Linked DNA regions of Nothobranchius furzeri. The protein of the gene in region 3 interacts with the protein of the main gene of each other region in a pairwise test. Links are inferred from orthologs where the notes say so. Each region holds a gene or a part of one and is shown on either strand. Other genes may lie near its edges.

Region 1 (2,940 bases), on a different chromosome or scaffold from region 3:
GGCTGGGGCCGACCGGTGCTACCCGGCCCGGGCCGACCCGGTACAGATGGGAATGGCCCATAAGACAAGTTAGCTACAGCTAATTAACAGTTAGCATGAAGCTAGCATTCATTGAGGCGGTTGTTTAGTGTTCCAGCCAGTTTGAAGGCAGTCTCTGAGAAGAAGTTAAAGACAGGTTACTGAAAGGCCTCAAATCAGAGAAATTAGTTTCATTCTACCGGACTGACAATTGCTAACAGCTAGTGCAAGGGAAGTGGTTCATGCAGCATCATTTCATGAATACAGTTTAATGCTCACTTGGAAAACTTCACGTGCAAAATGTGGCACTTCTGGCGAATCTAAGAGTCAAGTTCAATTGGAATATCGTAACATTCCCAAAGTTATTCCAGTTTTATGGAATGTTAAACATTTCACCAAACTGAGCCTTTTCAGAAAGCTATCTACTGTTAGTACAAACATTATTAATCACAACTTTGTTTATAGAGACACTGTTAAAAACGCAGAGTTTGCTACACAATCCCAATGTAGGAGCAACATCAGTTGTGCTCTCTTATCCAGTGAGCCCATGTCTCTCTGGGCGATGCAGCAGCTTTTCTAAAGCGGCTCACTCTGAGGATAACAACTAGCTGCCCCTTCTGCAGTTTGACGTACAACAAAATCTCTGGTCTTAACTTTAAAACCACAAACATGCCTTCATAACCTATGATTGCTCCGGAGCTGAGGAGCCTGCCCCGTCTTGTTACCAGATACCCTCCTGGATTCTTGTCTGGAGGCTGCTTGGCCTGTTTCTGCATGCAGAGTCCAAACATGCTGCATTCACCTAGAAATGATGAAGTTGGTCTCAATCCCAAGGATTAGTGTGTTTTAATCATTAAATATGTGTTTACACCTTCAGGAATTGTAGTCTAAAGAAAGGGTTTGTGCTTGCTGTGGGAATAAACGCCCCTAGAAGCCAAATGCACACGTCTGAATCCTTTTACAAAAGCTATAATCCTGCAGCACATCTACTGTGGTGAACTTACAAATCAAACATTACAAACTTTATTCCCCATAAATGCAGAAAGACTTTCAGCTGAACCTTCAGAGTGAGTGAGTCAGCAGCTCCATCTAGTGGTGCATGTAGTTAGTTTCATAGATGAAAGACAAAAACAATATGGCTGCTCCCTTGTTTGAGGTTCTCAGTTAGCAGGAAGAAGCTGAAACTCATGAAGAAGCTCAGGTAAATCAGTCTAAACCCATTTATTCTGTATTTAAGCGTGTTGCTGACATCTCTATCTACGTTAGGACATCAAACATAACAGACATGCATCCTGCCAAGGTCTAAAATAGATAACATTCTCTGCAGCCATGATGGACACAAAGGAAATCGTCCACCTTGCTGTCCAGATGGAGAAGCTGGCTGCAGACCGAAGCTTCGTGGACATCCAGACCCTCCTTGGTGACCTGGATAAGTCTCACATCACAGCAGAGCAGCTGGAAACAACAGAACTGGTCAAAGTCCTCTATGGAATCTTGAAGACCTGCTCAGACACCAATGTGAGGAAGGGGGTTAAGAGCTTGTTGTCCAGGTGGAGGAAACAGTACAGCTGTGAGAGGACAGGAGGGACACACTCAGATGAGAGAAAAGATCCTGCAGGTTCTTCAGCCCAAGTGGATGGAGATGGTGGAGTACGTGCTCCAGAACAGCAGGCAGACCGTCCCCTCCAGGGTACTTCTGCTTTGTCGGACTCTGTGAGGACCAAATGCGTTCACCTTCTCTTAGCTGCCCTCCATCCTGAACCTCCTGATCAGATCAAGGCGGAGCAGCTGGCTGAAGACATTGAAAAGCACATCCATGACCTCCACAAAACCAGCAGACTCAAATACAAAACCTGTGTGAGGAGCAAAGTCGCAAACCTGAGGAATCCCAAAAGTCCTCACCTGTGCCAGGGCCTACTGAGTGGCTCTCTGCTGCCGCAGGACTTTGCCAAGATGTCTGTGGAGGACATGGCCAGTCCAGAGCTCCGGCAGCTGAGAGAGGAGTTTTCATCACAAGGTGTGAGTGAGAGACAGCTTCCTCAAGGGGTGGAGGGGACGCCGACGCAGAAGATCCACTGCAAACGGTGTGGAGGATCAGACTGTAGGGTGACACAGGTGTCCAGGGGTGCTCTGTTTCTACCTGCATGGGTGAGGCAGGGAGGCATTGACCAGGACGCTATGACATTTGTGACCTGTAGGGGGTGTGGTCAGCAGTGGTACCACAGTGGCTGGGTTTGCTTCTAAATCAGGTGATGGTGGCAGAGGAGTTAATTTTTCATCCCCAAAACCAGAGGGTTGCAGATTTGCATCCCCGTTATTCTGACGCAGTCGTTGTGACAAGACACTTCATCCTCCTTACCTACTGGTTGTGGTGAGAGGGACTGGTAATGCCAGTGTGTCCCAGGGCAGCTCCATCCTTCCATCCTCCATAAACAAGACCCTTAAACCTCTAGAGTAGGGATTCCCAAAGTGTGGTGCGCGCACCCCCGGGGGTGCTAGGGGGTGCGCGAGGTGAAAAGTGTAATGGCTGCAGAGCTCAGAGAAGTCTGTCATATGTCACCATACATATATATATATATATATATATATATATATATATATATATATATATATATATATATAGCCATGCCCTGATGTGGGGGCTGGGGGGGTGCGTCGACATGGTCGGGACATAGAAGGGGGTGCGCGGCTAAATAAGTTTGGGAACCACTGCTCTAGAGGAACAGATGGTCCCAGCCTCACGAAGAACTTTCAACCTTTATTCTAAATACCAAACCGGCTTTTAAACAGTTTTATTTGTTTTCTGGATTAAATAAATGTGTAAGTCAAGTATTTAGTTTAGCTTCCCTTAAAGAGGGACTGCACACCATCAGAAAATGTAACTCCACCCTTAGTCAAGATTTGAAACATGCCATGAAAGTG
Region 2 (3,980 bases), on a different chromosome or scaffold from region 3:
GAATGAGTAAAGTTTTTTTTTAATCAACATCGGAACTTTCAGTACACACCCTCCTCTCAATTAGTGAACAAGGGGGGTAATGACACTCGTAATAAGTGCAGGAGCACTCCTCTTCCTCCACTAGCTCCCCGTTAGCATTGTAGTAGCGCGTGCGGCTTAGCTCTAGGTACTGCTCCTCCACCGGGTCGGCTGGGACCTGCTGGATGGCCAGCCAGTACAGAGACTGCTCTCTAGGAGGAAAACAAAAACACAGAAGACATCAGTTATTGTCCACCATACTGCTAGAATCAGTATGGTTCTCAACATGTGAGTCATGGTAGTGACTCAACGTCAGCTACCGAAGTCCTCTCAGGAATGTTTAGTATTTTTGCCCCCATGCCTTTCAGCAGAATTCATAAGTGGTCTCACCTTTGCTTGCTGGAAATCTCCTCCGGCTTGGGGCTCCAGCCCACCGGCACCAGTCGAAGGTTGTCTAACCGGTTGTCGACGGTTACGGAGTTGATGTGAATCACTTGAAAACTAGGGGCAATGCCTCCCCTGTGCTTCTCCCTGGTTAAAAGCAAAGAAATCAAGAACTGGTTCATTCAGAGTTACTGAGGATTTATTTAAACATACAGCTAACCCTACCCTCCAGGGGAAATTTCTGGTTTTTGAAGTCTACAGATGCACTTAATGGATAACAAGGATGGTTTTAATATTTGCTGCAAAATAGCCTAAACACCAATGACCTTTAAGATTCTTGTAAAGGAAATATAGATGGTTGATTTGTCCTCATTAGGTATGGGAGATTCAAGCTAAAACTTTCCATTGTATAGGATCCATTTAAATGTTGATGTTTGCTTTTTTAGCATTTATGATGTATTTTTTCCTGGCGTACACAGAATCAGTTTCTCTTTTCAGAAGTTCTTATCAATCTGGTTCAGGTTCAAGGCTTTTCCTACTACAAGTCAAGGAATAAAGACTTAAATATAGAAGATAATGTTAACTATTCATTTTTGCTCACAGAGAACATCTTGTTTTTGTAGAAAACAAAAGACTTACCAGAGTAGCTCATGCAGAGGTCTTCCTGCCCAGCGGCCTTTTCCGATGTCAAAAGCATAAGCAAAGATCTTAGCACCATTGCCATCTGCATCTACCTCCATGCGTGCCTAAAAATAGAGGGAAAATGTAGCCGTTTTAAACTTCTTGGCTGTGGTTAGCGATAAAAATGGGAAACGGGGTACAAAACATTCTGATAGTTTACCTCAAAGGCATAGTTTTCCACAAGTGGTATGTCCTGCTCATCAATCAGAGTGTATTTTGTCTGAAATGGAGAAAAATTGAAGACATGATTTGAGTTTCACAATAAAATCTACAGCTGTGATCATAACATACTTTGAATGGATTTTAATGAAAAAACACTATCCAATATGCCGCCAGCAAATACCCAATTTTTAAGCTCGTCTATTAGTAAAACCACAAGTTGAAATTTTTAGAAAGGGCTTTTCAGAACTTCCACTCACTACCAGTTGATGGTTCAAGCTCATCCTCTATAAAAGATTTAAATCAAGTGATCTGTGCCAGTTCAAAATTTGCAACACACCTGATGTTTGCAAGATAAACAGAGGATGACACCACTCAGACGCATATGTATTTGACCTGCAATCCCTTTGTTGCAGGTCAAATCCTGAACTGACCAAGTGTGTAAAAGTTATAATACACTTACCCACAATAATGACTAGTTTTATCCTGTTTCAACCTACCAGAGGTTTAATAACGGCATGAAACAAGGCGTAATTATCTGTTTTAAAACTAAATATAAAAACGTTTCAACCAGAGGAAAACTGTCACTCAGCCGGATGAGATGCAAGACTGGTGACAGCAGTTTATCCTGCGTGTCTTGTGACAGCAGTGACAGCAGCAGCAGCCAGGGGTGTCAACACCAGCATCCTGCCCCGATTTAAAGTCACGTGTATCTGAGGCAATTACGTTATTTGAACGGAATAAATCACAATACTTTAGCCCCGAGGTGTGGAGCGCAGCATTGCTATGCCGGTGTTATGTTACCACGGGCTAGCGTTGATGAAGCAAGGCACCGATTCCCTCATTAGTTGTCAGCTCCTGTCTAATCCAGATGCCATGGCTAACGGCTAATCTGGTGATGCTAACCTATCCGCTACAAGATAAAATGTCAGTTCTCCTTGTCACACCACACCCCCAACCAGCCACGAGCCACGACAGTGTCAGCAGCAACAAAAGCACAAATAGTTTGTGTTCACGTTTCAGGTAGACGTTTTGTTACTGGAAGTAAACCAGCTAACGGACATGCTAGCTAGTGTTAGCTTGAAGGAAGACAGTGATAGCGGTGGAGTAGAGAAGAGCAGACTGGCTCTGGCTCGACGCGGCCGGCTTTTCTAATCCGCTCAAACGACTCTGAAACGGTACAACTAGCCCACTCCCGCGCCCTCAACGGCACCATTATCATTACGGCAGCTGACTGGCATCGATAAATTGCCGTTAACAGTGTATTTACTTGAGGTTTCCGCATTCCCCACGGGCCGCACATGGCAGCACTGGGATCCAGCTCACCTTCCCGGCCACACGGCCGAGCCGAACAATCCCGAGCTTGAAATCCGACATCAGGAGGACGGGTGGTGTTGACACAACGAGGCGTAGAATCCAACCTTGGCGGTTTTCGGGGTGTAGAACTCGCCAGGGCAGCCCGTCTGCCCCGATGCGATGCAACTTCTGGGTTCAGTGTAGTGACTGCCCTACCTCCAGGTCTCTCCGGCCGCAGCCCAGCCTCGGTGACACACGGCCGCTGGAGCACGAAAGCTGGGCGAGCTGTGGTGAGAGGCGGGGTTATCGAAGGAATGAGCCACTATTCCAACCAACCAATCGAAACACGTTTTAGTCTGCGATGCCCTGTCCTTGCGCCCAATAGAATTACACAAACGTTTAAGACTGCCTATTTTAACTTAGACGTCAATGCTCTCTCGTGATCACTTCCAATCATTTTCGCGCGAAATCTTTGGCGGCTCTGTGCCACTGAAGGGGAGGAATCTCCGTTTTCTAAAAGCTTTCATTTAAAATTAAACATGAACTTATAAAGAATAAACATTGTTATAAATGTTGTCATATAAAAGCAAAATGGGTTGTGTTTGGCTGATTATTTGTTTTTTTGTAACAATGCTTCTTGACTTTAAATACCTGGGGGTCCACATCAGTGAGGACCTCACCTGTGCATTGAACACCACACAGTCATTAAAGAAGGCTCCACACAGCTACTGTACTTCCTAGGGGGCTGAGGAAGTTTGTCACTCAGAATCCTCAGCATCTTCTACAGCTGCATCATTGAGTCAATTAGATCTGTTGCATCTCTGTGTGATAAGGTTTGGTACGGGAGCAGCATCACCACCACCAATAACCACTGAGTCAACAGGACAGTCACCTCCATCTTCAAAGACCCCATCCACTCCCTCTATGGACACTTATTTCACTTGCACATGAATAATGGTGCTGTAACTTTGGTAGAGTTAATAGTTTTGATTGATTTGTTGCTTCTTTTTTATCTTATTTGTTTAAAAACCTAAATTATACTGTGATAGAGTGGGACTATCTAGAGGAAGTGATGTCACAAACTGGACCACCAAAATAAGAGTGGGGTAACTTTACAAATGGATCTTGTAGAAGTGCCAAAACTATAACCCTTTCTGACATATACTTTTGGCATCCATTGCAAGCAGCGAAGAATTTCATTGTACATGGAAATACATGAATCTGTATAAATCATTTATCCTGATTAGTCACCTTTAAAGAGGTCCTTCACAGAGAAAGCATTTTTGACTTATTGTTTTTGAAAAACATAGGTCATTCTGAGTTTAACGTGTAGGCTAAACGTGAAAATTGTGTCCTACATCTATTTCCTTCCCAATGATATAAAATAGATGGTGAAGAGTATCGCCAGAAGCACAACCAAAATTGTTAAATTGTTCTGTTGT
Region 3 (4,180 bases):
TGCACAATTTCCTTGTAGACCGAATATCACTGACGCACACAACAATGGCTACTAAAAAGGGATAAAAACAGACAGAAGTTGCCTTGATTGGACTGATGCAGGATTTAGGAAACACGTCCTCCTCTTTTCTTTACTTAGAAAAAGTAAACTTCCAGACAGCAACGGAGTCCATGTCGCAGACATTTTTCAGAGATCGTCTCTGCTGCGGCTGCCCGGTGGCACCGGAAACTTTAAAAATGTTGCGGTAAGCTATATTTTTAACATTTACGTAATATCTGTACAGGGCTGAAAGCACCAGACAGAATAATTCTTTGCCCTAACAGTAGTTAATGAAAGTAGTCAAACAAATGAGAGGCACCTGGCTGCAGCTGGGAAAATGGTCCATGTCCTCACTACTCTGATTTTAGTTGATTTGGGTCTTGTTTCATATCACACAGTGACATTTGAATAATTAAAAGGCATTTTTTAAATTAAGAGCTTTAGTTTACAGTAATAACCATGTCTAATGTTTGATTCTCTGTCTCATAATTTTAATTACAAGTTTTGCTTTGAGGGCACATTTTTTTGAACGATTAAAATGTGATTAATTTAGATTAATTAATTACAAAGCCTCTAATTAATTAGATTAAATGTTTTAATCGAGTCCCGGCCCTAATATATATATATATATATATATATATATATATATATATATATATATATATATATATATATATATATATATATATATATATATATAATTAGTTATTACAGAAAGGGTTTATTAAAGTTAATGTATTATTTGGCTTAAAGAAGATGAATGTAAGGGTTTAGGTGAACATGAATGTGATTAAGCAAGGGTGCCCTCCCCCACCCACTTGACCAACCTTTGGGACCGCCACTGTTCACATTTATCATTGATTCATTTTTCCTGCCTTGCTGTTGATGATGATGCTGGTGCCACGAAATCGTTCAGAACATGATTCAAATCTGACATGTTTTCGGTTCTAACTATATAATATAATATATATCTGATTCAACAGTCGCGTTAACCTTTTTCTGACGTTTTTTCTTAGACTTTCTTTGTCTTGGAGAACAGAAACAGGTTCAAGCAAAAACCCGTGTTCACGTGTGGGCTCCTACATGCAAACCCACATTAGTTGATCGTTTTTAACCTAATGGTGACTTCAGGTCTGGGGGTCTTTGTGGTGGTGAAACTGGGAATCCCCCACAGCGTGTGCGTCAGGAGCCGTGAAGACGCACAGGGTTAATTTCAAGCCCCCACCACCGCCGCCCACATCCCCTATTTGAAAGCCGCCTCTCTACCGGGAGAGGAAGGCTCTTTTTCGGTCAGATGGCGTGCTGCAGCCCGCCCCCGTCATTCTCCAGCCCACACAGACAGCAAAAAGGCAGCCAGAGCCAGCAACCAATACGGTGCGCCGGAGGAGGATTTCTGCCAGTGATATCGGACCAAGCAGCGACGCGCTAAGGGGATTTACTACGGCGATCTGCGGCGTGGAGGCTGTCGGTGAAGAGGTAAGAGGAACGAATCGGATGTAGAGAAGGACGACGTGTCGCTGAGCAGGGAGTCCTCTCTGACATCTGGCTCAGGATTGGCTCAGTCTGACTGGAGCCAGTCACCCAAGCAGCTCACTGCTTCACATCAGAACCATAAGGGAAAATATTTGGCTTCTTTCACAGTTTTATTCCAGGGAATAAGACCAGACTGCTTTAAGTTTCAACTCATCTGAAAAAGGTAAGAAAGATTCAAGAGTACTTGGTGCACGTTTGTGTTTTGCATGAAAAATATCATGTTTTTAATCCTAGAATCATGCAAAAGTTTTTGTGCTTCAGCCTGATAGATGCATTTGAAAATGAGCTGTCTGGATATTTAACATCTCTGGACTTTTCCACTTTGCAGGTTCATGTGTTTCCTTTCTCCTGCCTGAACTTTTCCAGTGCCGTGTGCCATGTCTCTGCCACGCACACTTGGGGAGTTGCAACTCTACAGGGTGCTGCAGCGGGCCAACCTGCTGGCCTATTACGAAACCTTCATCCAGCAGGGCGGTGACGATGTGCAACAACTCTGTGAGGCTGCAGAGGAGGAGTTTCTGGAAATCATGGCACTAGTTGGCATGGCCACCAAGCCGCTGCACGTGCGTAGGCTGCAGAAGGCTCTCCGAGACTGGGCGGCGAACCCTGCCCTTTTCAGCCAGCCTGTCGCCAACGTTCCTCTCGGGGGGATCCCTCTGTTCAAAGTTGATGGGACGGGCACTAGTGGGTCAGCTGGCGGGCCCAGAAAGCCTGTGAGTAATGGGCAGCCTGGGTCGCCCTGTGAGAGGGAGGATCGGGCGTGCCTCACCCCAATGTACAGTGGGAGTCCAAGGAGCCCCTGCTCCCAGGCCTCTCCTCAACCGCCAGAAACACACTACAGGGAAAAACTGTCCCCCATGGACCCCCACTGGCTCAGCCCAGAGCCTGATGGTAATAGCAATGTAGCTTCTGCACCTGGAACAGAGGAGGAGGCGCCCAGCCCGCCACTACTGTCCACATGTCCTCCTGGTCCTTCAACATCTCCTGTCCCATCTGCATCATTCGCCCCTTCGGCTCTGTCAGCCTGGCCTGGAGGACAGCTGGACGGGGAGACGGCGAGGGCCGTGGTGGAGAGCGTGGAGCAGCTGTTTAGGACCCTGCCCCGGTCTGATCTCACAGAGGTGAAAACCCTGCTGAGGATGAACAAGAAGATGGCAAAAACTGTGGGGCACATCTTCAGAATGGGTTCCCAGGATGCAAACAAGGAAGAAGAGATCCGGAAATACAGTCTGATTTACGGGCGCTTTGACTCCAAACGGAGAGAAGGCAAGCAGCTCTCACACCACGAGGTAAAACCTAACAAGCACATCACCCGAGCTCACGGATCGCTAAAGTGACAACAAACCAGATTTTATCTTCACCTTGTGACCTTAAATGTTGATTTAAAGCCTCCATCACTCCTTCATTCGGTGTCTCCTCCTCCCCAGCTGATCATCAACGAAGCTGCAGCTCAGTTCTGCATGCGCGACAACGCTCTTCTCCTCAGACGGGTGGAGCTGTTTTCTCTGGCTCGACAGGTGGCCAGGAAATGTGCCTACACCTCCACACTGAAGAGCACAAGGTGAGTGAGGTAGGGGTGAGCGATGAGGATTTGACCCACACAAACACACCTGCTTCACACGAGTTTCAGATCGAAGCAAAGTGTTAGTTAGACGTTTTCAGTTGTTTTATTCAGATTTCTTCTGTTACAGCTCAGGTTTTATATAAAAAGTTAATCAGGTAAAAAAAGAGTACACCTCAATTCAATTCTAGAATTTTGGGGCAAGCATGGGGCAACGGTGGCACAGGAGTTAAGTGCTGGCTCCATAATTGGAAGGTTGCAGGTTCGAGCCCCGCTCTGTCGCTGTGTCTTTGGGCAAGACACTTAACCCACCGTGCCTGCTGGTGGTGTTCGGAGGGACCGGTGGCGCCTGTGTACGACAGACTCACCTCTGTCAGTGTGCCCCAGGGCAGCTGTGGCTACAATGTAGCTCATTACCACCAGAGTGTGAATGTGTGTGAATGGATACATGACTGTTTGTGTTGTAAAGTGCCTTGGGGGGTTCCAGGACCGTATAAAGCGCTTTATCAGATACAGGCCATTGACCTATTTATTTATTTTTAACCATATTTTGATTCCAAAAGTTGACGTTCTTTAGTTTAAAATCCCAGACATGGCCTAAGCACTATTGTTTGCTGTTCAGATTATTGGGATTATTATTATAATTTTTTGGTCAAATTATTAAAATCTAATCAGAAAAGTTAGAGAATAAAGTTATAAAAACACAAACATTATTTTGTTGCAATTAAATTTTGAATCAATAAATCTAGTTGAGGAGACACTGAATCATCAAACTTCAGTTTAATGAGCTAGAAACAGTATTTTTACATGTAAAATTCCAGGTAATTTTTTTTTTACCAGTAAGTGGCTATAACACTCCATCATACATCTCATTGTTTACATTAAAATTCAAAAATGGAACGGTAGTTCATACATTTTTGGGAATTTTGGCAGAATTCTTATTGCAATTAAAAGTTTTTATTTTTTTATTATCTTCTGCAGGCCGAATGCGGATGAGAACAGCAGTTTGTGTAATAAGAGACCAAGACATGAGGTAAGCATTTACAG
Region 4 (4,126 bases), on a different chromosome or scaffold from region 3:
TCTTCTATTTTATCTAGCTCCACCTGCTGCATCATCAGAACCTGTTGCTCCTTTTTTAGACGGGAGGTCTGAGGGCATCAACACACCGTTAGGAAGAAAAGCTTTATTTAGACAAGCAGAGATGTTATTTTTGAAGCTGCAAAAACCTCTTCCTCCCTCATCTTCAGTTCTTCCATCTGTTGGCGAAGAGCCTCTGCTCTCCTACGCTCCTCTTCTTTCTGTCTCTCCTCCGCTTGCTTCATCCTCTCCTGCGCCTCTTTTCGAGTCCTCTCGTGCTCGTTCTCAAAGCGCCTCTTCTCCTCTCGTTCTGTCACTTCTTTCTGCATGTTTGATGAGACGGGTTGCTCACATCAAGTGTCAAACTTTCTTAACTATGCACGGCGTTGAGTTGGATTAACCTGAGATTTCAGATGTGATCCTGTGCTCACAGAATGCATAAGCACTTTGATTAAAAATAGATGTGCTACATAAATAATTGGTGATGTAAAAGGATAATGGCAGCTTTAATGGCTGGCTGGACGGATTAAACACTGACATAAACATCATTTGACATGTTTAATTGAACACTCGGGGTGATCATCCTACCTGTTTCTTCTCAGATACCTGCTCCTGCCACCGGCTGACAACATGATCTTTATGTAACGCCGACTCAGCCTGCAGACAGAGTTAAAGACTGAGTTGTGACAGAGGTGCTGATGAACCTGACCCCTAGAGGAAAGGAAACCAGAGCGTTTTACTCTCTAAAGCAAAGGCTAGACTCAGGTTAACTGAAAGTAATGGAACGTGTGCCTCACTAGAGCTATAAGTTTTCAGATCAAATGGACATCTGAACAAAAAGTCTCTGTTTTCCTGGATTATCAGGTCCTTCACACACACACTAGACGTTTACCTGATACCCAGAGTCATTAATCACATTGGTGCAGCCCAGATTTGGGGCTTTAATCACTTTTGCATGAATAGTTCAAACCCACTTACCTGTCGTAATTCTGCATTGTTTCTCTTCCAGTGCTCTCTCAGAAGCTCCTGTGCAATCTAGAAGACACAAAAACAGAGAAGTTACGAGAACAGAATCATACGTGGCAAAACACTGACCATCAATAACAAAAATATTTATGGGAACTACTTTTTTTCTCGTTTCCTCTCTTGCTGAATGAAGCTCTTCAGCTTTCTGCACCATTTGATTCATTCGTGTGGTTTTGTCAGGGACAAGCTGTCGAAGCTCTGCCTCCAGCTGGTCTCGTTCCTCCTGAAGCATGGTTCTGAGCTTCCCTCTGTGTCTCCACAGGAAGGCTTTTCTTTGCTCCTCCTCTTCCAAATGATGGTAGGCTGACATGCTAATAAAGAGTGGAGAAAAAAAATACTTCAATTGTCTTTTGTTGCCATCTTTGTCTGCTGATCCAAACCGTGAATATACAAGAAAAGACATTTCATTTTAGAATTTGGTCTGAAATTATTGACAACAGAGATGTCTCTTTTTTTCTAGAGGGGAAACAAAAGCAGATTTCCAAATATTAGGAAATTCATTACTAGATAGGGCAATATTAAAAACATGACTCAGTGGTTCTGCTATGAAGTCTGCTTCCAAAAAGGATCAAGTCTGTCAGGATTTGTTTGGATCTAAACTTTTCAGTATGCTATGGACCTCCGAGACAACAAATGGGATCAAACTGAATGACTGAGTGGTAGAAGGTGAGCTAACGAGGAAGGTGAAATGGTAAGCTGCTGTTTTCTAGGCTTTTGTAGGTGAGGATTTAGATTCAGAGAAAACCGGACTAAACAAAGTGCTCAGCTGATTTATTGGTTATTAAGTGAGAATCCTTTTTTATTTGATTTCCTTCTAAAATCACTCATGATGACTTGAGTTTTTAGACAGATAAAAATCAGATTAGACTTTATTTACAGTGGAGTTGAAACGATTCTGCAGTCGTCTGAATGACAGCCAGTCCCTTCCCGGTTTAGATTTCCAAGCTTTTGCCTAGGCAGCATCGCTTTCACTCATCAGAGTAAACTATGGGCTATCTCGACCTTCAACACGGATTTAACGGAATGGAGCATTATTATTTACAATCTCATTGAAGGCATCACAGAAGAATCCCCATGCCCTATCTCTTCTACATCACGATGAGGTAGATTTGGCCCCAGTCGTCTCTGCTGCAACAACACCCTCCCAAAGTAAGAAAAAGACGCGCGTGCCTTTGCTGGAAGCACCTCTGGCAGCTCCAGGCCGCCTGCTGCTGACAGCGGACTTCCTGCTCCTTTAGGTACCGAGAATGAAGCTCCCACTGGTGGCGCTGTTGAGCCTCCCTCTCACGACGCTGGACCTTCTGTTCTTCCAGCACCCGGCACCGATTCCTACTGGACAGATGGACCGAGCGTGTGGGAAAAGCCATCAGTCTGAATCACAAGCAACAAAATAAAAAAAAGCAACTCAACAGTTAAACACAGTTACACCTGGCATCACTTGAGATTAGTCTATGGAAAGCCTATATAATAATATAATAGTCTATATCAAGCACAAGACGCTGTTTCTAACGTTTGTGTTAACGTAGATGCTAACTCAGCTGACGAAAACAATGGCGGTTCCTAGATTCGTTTGTCTCCATAAACCACATTTAGCCTCTCAGCAGAGAAACCGTTCAAATAAATCAGCACGTATCATTTGGACACAAAAGCCTACCTTTAAGAATTTAAACCGTCTTCGCTTTTAATTCAAATTCAAACAACCGCTCTCAGGTATTTCCTTAGTTACCAAAGACGGTTTACTCCCCTCCAACGCTACGGAATCAAGCGAAGGCCAAAAGTGTTCATTTCAAGAAACGCGAAAAGATTTTTCTCATTTCGTTTCTTGTCACAACCTCAACTTACGCGCGCTGATAAAACAAACAAACAAATAAATAAATCGGATATAATTAGGTGATTTTTGTGAGTTTCAACACAAAAAATGGTGGGAAAATCTTCCCAGTTTAAATTGTTGTTAGAAATAAATTCAGTCACTTATATTCAGTCAGGTGGAAATTATCAATTATTATTATTATTATTATTATTATTATTATTATTATTATTATTATTATTATTATTATTATTATTATCAATTTCGTTAATATATAATTATTCTGACAGAGACAGACAGACAGACAGTTAGATGATGATGATGATAGATAGATAGATAGATAGATAGATAGATAGATAGATAGATAGATAGATAGATAGATAGATAGATAGATAGATAGATAGATAGATAGATAGATAGATAGATGATAGATAGATAGATAGATAGATAGATAGATAGATAGATAGATAGATAGATAGATAGATAGATAGATAGATAGATAGATAGATAGATAGATAGATAGATAGATAGATAGATAGATAGATAGATAGATAGATAGATAGATAGATAGATAGATAGATAGAGGAATAAATGTCCCATGTAGACTAATTGATCACATGAGCCTGCCGGCAGCTGGATGTCCTTCCATGACCTGGGTTGAAAGTAGGTAACTTGAGTGTGTGAGTTAGTGCGTGTGTGTTGATTCACCTAGTCTTGGTGACACACTGAATCTGCAGCACAGGCTTTGGCAGCCTTTTGCTTTTAGCGTGTGCAGACTACAGAGATGGCTCTGCTGATGGAGCACCAGTTCAGGCAGCTGCCGGCTGACAAACAGGTGGAAACAAGACCCTTTCTGGAGGCTGTGTCTTACCTTCCACCATTCTTAGGTAAGTAAAGCTTATCTTCTCAGTTTTGGACAGTGACCAATAACAAATGTGTGCTTGTGAAATTATGTGAACAAACCTTTTAGATGTCACACACTGCAGGATGCAGCATTTTCCTATATTTGTGGAGCTTGTTATGACAGATTTATCAAGTCAAAATTATTGTTGTAATAAGTAAATAATAAGCTGAATTTATGTCACCGACAAGTCACATCAAGCCCGTAGCTGCATGTTATGATACTTTTACGTGGACATTATAGTTCTAATTTTTCCACTGGTGCAAGTATTGACAAACATTGATTATTCAGCACAAACTGTCAAAGAAGCAAAATCTGTCCCAATCGTTCTTTAAAGGTCACTAAAACAATGTGTCTCAATTCAAATGATTATCTTCATTTGGATCATATTTCTC

Evidence for each region. The genes of interacting proteins can lie anywhere in the genome.
Region 1: the proteins of nab2 (region 3) and transcription elongation factor A N-terminal and central domain-containing protein interact in binary tests that used the Homo sapiens proteins (3 or more experiments, as listed by UniProt). The two-hybrid records come from large-scale screens. The link is inferred for Nothobranchius furzeri from reciprocal best matches to the Homo sapiens genes NAB2 and TCEANC.
Region 2: the proteins of nab2 (region 3) and zmynd19 interact in binary tests that used the Homo sapiens proteins (3 or more experiments, as listed by UniProt). The two-hybrid records come from large-scale screens. The link is inferred for Nothobranchius furzeri from reciprocal best matches to the Homo sapiens genes NAB2 and ZMYND19.
Region 4: the proteins of nab2 (region 3) and tchp interact in binary tests that used the Homo sapiens proteins (3 or more experiments, as listed by UniProt). The two-hybrid records come from large-scale screens. The link is inferred for Nothobranchius furzeri from reciprocal best matches to the Homo sapiens genes NAB2 and TCHP.

Annotation. Positions count from the first base shown.
Region 1 is NC_091754.1:47,120,131-47,123,070, reverse strand, and holds transcription elongation factor A N-terminal and central domain-containing protein, read left to right. Parts: upstream 1-1,131; 5' UTR 1,132-1,219; intron 1,220-1,284; 5' UTR 1,285-1,347; coding exon 1,348-2,262; 3' UTR 2,263-2,440; downstream 2,441-2,940.
Region 2 is NC_091746.1:54,510,030-54,514,009, forward strand, and holds the start of zmynd19 (zinc finger MYND domain-containing protein 19), read right to left. Parts: upstream 2,801-3,980; 5' UTR 2,620-2,800; coding exon 2,569-2,619; intron 1,304-2,568; coding exon 1,244-1,303; intron 1,149-1,243; coding exon 1,042-1,148; intron 550-1,041; coding exon 409-549; intron 231-408; coding exon 50-230; intron 1-49. UniProt on the Homo sapiens protein: May be involved as a regulatory molecule in GPR24/MCH-R1 signaling.
Region 3 is NC_091743.1:50,555,446-50,559,625, reverse strand, and holds the start of nab2 (NGFI-A-binding protein 2), read left to right. Parts: upstream 1-1,380; 5' UTR 1,381-1,515; intron 1,516-1,680; 5' UTR 1,681-1,735; intron 1,736-1,900; 5' UTR 1,901-1,949; coding exon 1,950-2,861; intron 2,862-2,999; coding exon 3,000-3,133; intron 3,134-4,114; coding exon 4,115-4,166; intron 4,167-4,180. UniProt on the Homo sapiens protein: Acts as a transcriptional repressor for zinc finger transcription factors EGR1 and EGR2. Isoform 2 lacks repression ability.
Region 4 is NC_091757.1:45,563,357-45,567,482, reverse strand, and holds the start of tchp (trichoplein keratin filament-binding protein), read right to left. Parts: upstream 2,801-4,126; 5' UTR 2,678-2,800; intron 2,621-2,677; exon of another isoform or gene 2,534-2,620; intron 2,395-2,533; 5' UTR 2,391-2,394; coding exon 2,194-2,390; intron 1,335-2,193; coding exon 1,124-1,334; intron 1,033-1,123; coding exon 976-1,032; intron 655-975; coding exon 586-654; intron 321-585; coding exon 147-320; intron 69-146; coding exon 1-68. Other genes in the region: gltpa (glycolipid transfer protein), read left to right, coding at 3,615-3,717. UniProt on the Homo sapiens protein: Tumor suppressor which has the ability to inhibit cell growth and be pro-apoptotic during cell stress. Inhibits cell growth in bladder and prostate cancer cells by a down-regulation of HSPB1 by inhibiting its phosphorylation.